2 linked regions of the Macaca fascicularis genome follow. The protein of the gene in region 1 interacts with the protein of each later gene in a biochemical or structural test. Links are inferred from orthologs where the notes say so. Each region holds a gene or a part of one and is shown in the gene's direction. Other genes may lie near its edges. The genes, in order: STK26 and CAB39.

Region 1 (3,825 bases):
TTAATAAATTGTATGTGGCACGCTATCCTAGTTAATACACTGCCTTATTTTTCCTTGTTTCACAAGTGTTTCTTAAGCTAGAGTTATGTCGTATTTTGCTGCTTAATCATAAATTCCCTCACAGCTAACTAATATTTGGACCCTATTCACTTCAATGGCTTTTCATCCCACATGGAATAAAATCCTAAGTCTTTTCTGTGACATATAAAGCTCTACACAATCTGGCCATTATCTGCCTCTCCAGTCTTATCTCCTACCACTCTCTTCTAGATTATTCGTCCACAGTGGCCTCGTGGTTGTTCCTCAAACATAGCAAGTACACCCTGGCCTCAGGACCTTTGCACCTGCCCTTCCCTCTGTCTGAAAAAATCTTCCTCCCACAATCAGGTCTGCTTAAACATCACTTACACAGAGAATTCTTCCCTGGCCATCTTATGTAGATCTGCAACACTCTTGCCCCCATCATTCATTATTCTCTTACTATGCTTGTTATTTTCTTCACAGAAGTTAACACCATCTGGCATCATATTATGTATTTATTTATTTATTTGTCTCTCTTATTAGAATGTAAGCCCCTTAAGAGCAGGGATTTTTGTCTGGCTTATTCACCACTGAAATCCTCCATTCTGAGAAGGGTACCTGACACAAAGTATGGAATTCATTATGTTTTAAATAAATGAATTATAGTAATAAAAATTTATTAACACCACATTTTCTTGAGAGACAAGTACTGTATGACCATTAGGTTCCACAGACTATTTTGTGGTAGTATATTGTAATGGAGTTTCAAGGTGATATACATATATATATTTGTTTTTCCTTTTATCTTAGGCTGACATTTGGTCGTTGGGAATTACTGCTATTGAACTAGCCAAAGGAGAGCCACCTAACTCCGATATGCATCCAATGAGAGTTCTGTTTCTTATTCCCAAAAACAATCCTCCAACTCTTGTTGGAGACTTTACTAAGTCTTTTAAGGAGTTTATTGATGCTTGCCTGAACAAAGATCCATCATTTGTGAGTATATATTGCTATCATTACTATTTATTTTCTATTATTAGATCTACTTATAGCAAAGGCAGCTTTTCCTGCAATAGGGAATACAGTGCATGTGAGAATTGTCTAAGATCCATCCAGGAACTTGGTTCTTCCTTCTGTACTGCTACTTCTATTGAGTTATTAACCAGATTCTTCATTCTTTTTCTCCTTACCCTTCATTTTTTTCTTGGTACCCAGCTTCCTCCTTATTCTATTCATTATTTCCTATTTCAGGGGGAAATAAATTTGAGAAGTAAAGTTATCTTTATATTATGTCATTATTAAAGTGCATGTATAAATACAGTGATTTTTATTCAGCTGTTTTCATTTTTCATGAAAAGTTATGTTTGGGTTTAACTGTTTTTTTTTTTTTTTGAGTCAGAGTCTTGCTCTGTTGCCCAGGTTGGAGTGCAGTGGCGTGATTTAGGCTCACTGCAACCTCCATCTCCCAGGTTCAAGCGATTCTCCTGCCTCAGCCTCCCAAGTAGCTGTGATTACGGGCACCTGCCACCATGCCTGGCTAAGTTTTGTATTTTTAGTAAAGATGGATTTCACAATGTTGGCCAGGCCAGTCTCGAGCTCCTGACCTCTAGCGATCCGCCCTCCTCAGCCTCCCAAAGTGCTGGGATTACAGGCATGGGCCACTGCGCCTGGCCAGGTTTAACTATTTTTATTTAGTGTTTAGAAACTTCACCGTGGAGTTGTATACTTTTCCTAGGCTAGTGAGCTCCATTCATTTACTTGGCAGATTCGATTACAGTTGTTTTGCTGTTGTTGAAATAAAGCTGCCTTGTGATTTTTCGAGACGAGAAATACACAAGAGCAGTCCAAACTTGATATAACTATTTTTAAGTTGATGATAAACATTGTGATATTAATAAAGTGAAGGCGGGACATTCTCCACAGCACCTGGTGTTTGCATTTAGATGCAATAGACATTGATGTCTGATGGAGAAGGGATTATAAGATATGTGTAAATAATAACAAAACTACAGCCTTGCAAGTTTTCATCAGTTTTTTTCAAATTTACAGTAAATGTGATTAAAGTATTTTAGAACATTACTTTGAAATGTTTTTAAATGTTTACTTTCTAAATACTGTCATGTGTCTCTCTGCTTTTGAGAAGGCCCTGCCTGCCAGTTTGCTGGTGGGTAAGCCACCTGCTGCCCATTGGGCTTTAACAAATTTAGACGCCAAAGTAGTAGATTCAATGCAGTTGCCTTGAGCCACTTCAATAATAGAATTAGCTATTTTCCTACAGCATTTTAGTTGTTCTTATATCTACAGACATACCTTTATACCTTTCAGCTTAATAATTCAGATGATTTTTTAACCATTCCTTGTAATCATAAGAGTTCAACAATTGTAATATGCAGCCTTGATCTTTTTATCCTTAGCGCCCTACAGCAAAAGAACTTCTGAAACACAAATTCATTGTAAAAAATTCAAAGAAGACTTCTTATCTGACTGAACTGATAGATCGTTTTAAGAGATGGAAGGCAGAAGGACACAGTGATGATGAATCTGATTCCGAGGGCTCTGATTCGTATGTACAAATTATTTAATTTTTATGTAGGTAGCCTATTTAAATATTGTATATCTTTTAGCTATGATCAGTGTGCTTGTTCTAGCATAAAATATAAACCATATTTTGAAATTTCACCTTAGAAACTGTAAAAATCTTTTTCAATCACAGTCTAGAATACAATGAAGTTGGAAACATGTTTTTCTTGGAAGTGAATAGCTCTAGTTTTAAATGGTCTTGGTCTAACCCCTAGTGGATACTTGAGTATATTACAAAATTTTGGAGCAAGATTCAATTAAAAGTGTTATATTAGTTTGCCCAAAGTAATAAGGAGCTGTGTTTTCTCATACTTTGATGGCAACCTGCAAAATCCCTCTAAAGAACTTTCCTTTCCCACCTCTTGGCCATGTACCAAATCCAGATCAGACTGATACATTTGAATATTCATTTATGTGTAATTTTTATTTCTTGAAAAAGTTGTAGTGTTTTATAACAGCAGCGTTTACATTAAAAATTCAGCCTCTAAGTCCGTCAATTAATTTAGACTAGGAAAGTCTGTATGCTATGCCAGAATTTAGTCCTCTACCAGCTGAACTGGCAAAAAGGCAACACCAAATTTATTTAGATACTACCCTGAGATTCTTCCATTTATGAGAAATTGCTCAATGTTGGAAAGGGATAAAAAATATCAGAATAATTTGTGCCCTATTCTGATGGGTGTTAGCCTTAGCTTCCCATAAGAGTCACTCATGGAACCTTTTTATTTTTATTTTTATTTTTTATTTTTTATTTTTATTTTTATTTTTTAAATTTATTTATTATTATTATACTTTAAGTTCTAGGGTACATGTGCATAACGTGCAGGTTTGTTACATATGTATACTTGTGCCATGTTGGTGTGCTGTACCCATCAACTCGTCAGCACCCATCAACTCGTCATTTACATCAGGTATAACTCCCAGTGCAATCCCTCCCCCCTCCCCCCTCCCCATGATAGGCCCCGGTGTGTGATGTTCCCCTTCCCGAGTCCAAGAAGGATGAGTTTGTGTCCTTTGTAGGGACATGGATGCACATGGAACCTTAAAGCAATCGCAAGCCACACCACTGGAGATCCTGATTCAATAGGTGGGGAGCAGTGAGGGACAGGTATTTACATTTGGTAGGAGGTCTCAATGAAGCACACATCGAGCTGAGAACCACTCCACTACCACTCTGTAGTAAAATGTAGTATTCACCTGCAGCTGAGATCAGATCTTTTTTGT
Region 2 (3,825 bases), on another chromosome or scaffold:
ATCCGTCCATTACAGAATTCTCATTGACCTTTCGCCACCTGGTTTTAGTTTCCATTGAGAATCATTGCCTAGATTCAGAATGGCAGTTTCCTGATTCTGTTATTTCTTCTTCATATAATTAAATTGTTTTTATAAAGAAGAACCTTTCCTCCTTGATGACTTAGTTATCCCAAAATAGTCTCATTTTTTAGTATAATCAGGTATTATTTTTTAGTATAATCAGTTGGTGACCTGGCCACTTCCTTAGATAAGTATTGAGTTGTTTTAAGGATCATTATACACTCAAGTTTTTGTCTTTTTAAAAATTACATTTGATATGTCTCAGTCGATTCCAGTCATTACTTTCTTGTGTCCAAATTGCCCCATCTTTGGCCCTTGGGAGCTCCTTCAAGTTGGCTTCTGCGTTCTTTTGGCAAGACCCCATCAGTCTGTGATAGCTTCCTTGCTTTCTGGCGTAGGATGACCATCTTGCTCATTTTGTATGAGTCCTGCCAGACCTGGAAACAGCCATTTCTTCAAGGAGCACTGTGAACTGCATTTTAAGATTTTTGTACCTTTGTTGATTAATTTAAACTGCTTCCATACAGTGTGATTATCTTCTTAGGCTGTAAGTACTTCTATGGTAGATGTTTATTTGGGGGGCCATGTTGCTAATATTAGCATGCATTTGAAGTCTTATTGCTGGTGTTAGACTGCATTTGGAGGCGATTTTTTTTACTGGCAGTTTACATGTTAATATGCTGTTCACTTTAGTGCTCACAGGTTATACAGCATAACTGTTTGCCTTGTACTTGTTTATGGTTTAATCATTTAGACAAGCTTGACAAGCCTCCATCAAAACCTGCTCAACTTGTTGTACCAAACTGTCTTACCCTTGTCCTTCCTGCCTACTAAAGTTCAGCAAAGATGAATTGTATGATCAGCCATTTTGTGAGCAGATATTTCCATCAAGTAAGAGCCAGTCAGCATTCTAGCTGCATGCCTCCACTGATGCCAAGGAGTGTGGTTTTATCTTGTTGAGGATCTATGATGTGTAAGAGGACACCACTACTAGATAACAAATGAGTACTACAGGATTTCAGAGGATAAAATGTGGTTTGAGTTAATAAGGCAAGGATTGATAAAAGGATAGGACTTAAGATGGGAGTTCCTACTAGTTTAGAATTTACATAGGCAGAAAAGAGAGAGAAGGCATCCTAATGGCATATGACTGGGAACAAAGGTATAGGGGCAGGAATGAACATAACATGATTGGCAGCAGTAAGGAGAAAATTTGAAAGTTGTATGGCAGGGTGGGAGGTGACATTGTGCTATAACAGGAGATCTAATGAGGGGAAGACTGGACAGTTAAGTCCAGAAGTTTGTGTTTATTTGATTAGCTAGAAGAAATCATTTTAAGCTCCCAAGCTGGAAATGCTGTTGATACACTTGTGTGTTGGGTAGATTTATTATGACAGAGCTTGAACAAAGATGCTGGCTAGGAAGCATTTGCAATTGTCCGGGTATGAATAAATGTAGCAGTGGGAATGGATAAAAGCAAATGAAACTAAGATAATCAGAGAAACATTTTTTAAAGCCTTTGAAGGCTTTCAAAGCCTAACATTGAAGGTGGGAAGATTTGGAGTAAAGAAGGAAAGGTTTAGAACTGGGCTGTCCAATATAGTAGCTTCTAACCACATGTAATTAATTGAAATTAAATAATATTTACGATTCAACCCCACAGTCACACTAGACAAATTTCAGGTGGTCAGTAGCTGTATATGGCCAATCTCTCCATAATGAACAGCACAGATACAGAACATGGAAATTTCTGTTAAACCTGGTTTAGAACTGGATGACTGAAACAAAATAATGATGCCAAATTATAGAAATGAGGAAGCAAGCGGGATGGGGGTGATTTTATGGAGGGGGATGAGATTTGATTTGAGACACATTGAGTTTATGGTAGCGCTTTAACGGAAGTTGTCCACAGGCAACAGAAAGTGCCTAATTCAGGAGTAGACATGGAGGTGGGGTTAGTAGTCGTGGTGGGAGCCATGAGATTGTATGGGCTTTCATTAGCAGGTTGTGGGATACAGGTAAAGACCTCAGCCAGGCAAGAAATAGGAACAGTCAGAGAGATAGAAAGGAGAGAACCGTGAAATGTTTTATTTTCGTTTGGTTTTTTACAGCCTGTCAGGACACTTGAGTAGAAGACTCTATTTAGCCAAGAGGGAATCTTTGCTGGCCCGTTATTTATTTCGCTAGTGTGTTGGGAAATGGAATATGACTACAAGAAACTAGAGGAGAATGTGAGGTGGAAAGAAAGCCAGTGCATGCAGCTTGAGAGGAAGTAGAAGAGAGCGATGTGTTTGAGGGGGCGGAAGAGGCCAGTCAGAGGGCTTGTGCACATCTGAAGGGGAAATGCCTCTTGCTTGGCTGAGAGGTGTCTCTCTAATGGCAGGGGAGGAGAAGCCAGAGACATGGGGATGAGCATAGGGAAGGCTATGTGTGGAGAGCTGACGAGGGGGGGCCGCCTGCTTCGTCGCCCCTGGGCTCTCTGATGGGAACCCTTAGTGAAGTCCTCAGGAGGAGGCTTATCAGCTTGGTGGTGTTTACATGTGGCTGAGAGACTCGAAGTACTATCTTGAGTATTGAATTAAAACAACAAGGTATAAATTCTATATATTCATAGACCTATTTAGAGACTCTGAATTTGGGGAAATAGTTTGTCTTGTGTGTTTTGATTTAGCTTTTGGTTTTTCTGAGTGTCAAGAGCACCATCTGTAAAAGCTAACCCCTGTATAGAGTTATGGTATGACCCGAAATACCTCTCTTGAAATCTTTCAGCTTAAATAATGTACCTTTAGTCACACAGTCACTCGTATGGCTATTTTTCTTTGGTTTAAGGTGGTCATCACCAACTAGTGTGTGTTTGCACTCTGGAATCAGTTTACCTGAGCACATGCTCTACAGAAATACCTTCTGTAATCTGCGATGGTCATTTAGTTAGGATACATGTCCGAAAACTTTCTGCCCTAAAAGTTTGAACTGTTCATTGTTGGAGTTTTGAAAGAGCAATCATATTTGTTTGTTTGTTTTGTTTGTTTGGTTTTTTGTTTTTGCAGGTATGAATCTCCAGAAATAGCTCTAAATTGTGGAATAATGTTAAGAGAATGCATCAGACATGAACCACTTGCAAAAATCATTTTGTGGTCGGAACAGTTTTATGATTTCTTCAGATATGTCGAAATGTCAACATTTGACATAGCTTCAGATGCATTTGCCACATTCAAGGTAACATAAAAACTGTAGAATTCTAAATATGCTTGAAAGTCAGATTAACAGGTGTGCTGTTTTTCTAAACCTTCGTTGCCCTCCTAAATCTACACGTGGCTGCCCTCTAGTGGGAAGAGAAAGATACATTTTATATGTGTCTGTGTGAAAGAGGTATATGCAGTAAAGTCACAGCTTTAAAAGGGTGGAAAAGTTAGATTCTAAAATATATCTAAAAGACAAAAGTCCTGTGTGGTCAACATTTTACTTTGCTGTTAAATTATAATTAAGTATGATGTACTGTACAGCATGTGTAACAACCAGGTTTTCTCCTGTGTTGAAACATTGTGTAGCAGTTTCTTTGGTTAAGCACCAGATGAAGTAGTTGGCTTCTGTTCAGGTTTATGTTAATTTGGAATATACACTTCATGAAATATTAGGACCACATTCAGGACAGAGATACATTGTAAATAGGCCTGAGGAAACAGTGGATTCACCTCTCCCATCTCCTGCTCACACTGGATCATGTCTATTAAATGTAGTGCGTGGACAGAATCACCTACACTATTC

What was found.
Region 2: the proteins of STK26 (region 1) and CAB39 are reported together in a solved structure, tested with the Homo sapiens proteins (2 studies listed by IntAct, with this or other methods). The link is inferred for Macaca fascicularis from reciprocal best matches to the Homo sapiens genes STK26 and CAB39.

What each region holds. Positions count from the first base shown.
Region 1 is NC_088395.1:138,326,571-138,330,395, forward strand, and holds part of STK26 (serine/threonine-protein kinase 26), read left to right. Parts: intron 1-831; coding exon 832-1,017; intron 1,018-2,435; coding exon 2,436-2,584; intron 2,585-3,825. UniProt on the Homo sapiens protein: Serine/threonine-protein kinase that acts as a mediator of cell growth. Modulates apoptosis. In association with STK24 negatively regulates Golgi reorientation in polarized cell migration upon RHO activation.
Region 2 is NC_088386.1:126,716,405-126,720,229, forward strand, and holds part of CAB39 (calcium-binding protein 39), read left to right. Parts: intron 1-3,107; coding exon 3,108-3,276; intron 3,277-3,825. UniProt on the Homo sapiens protein: Component of a complex that binds and activates STK11/LKB1. In the complex, required to stabilize the interaction between CAB39/MO25 (CAB39/MO25alpha or CAB39L/MO25beta) and STK11/LKB1.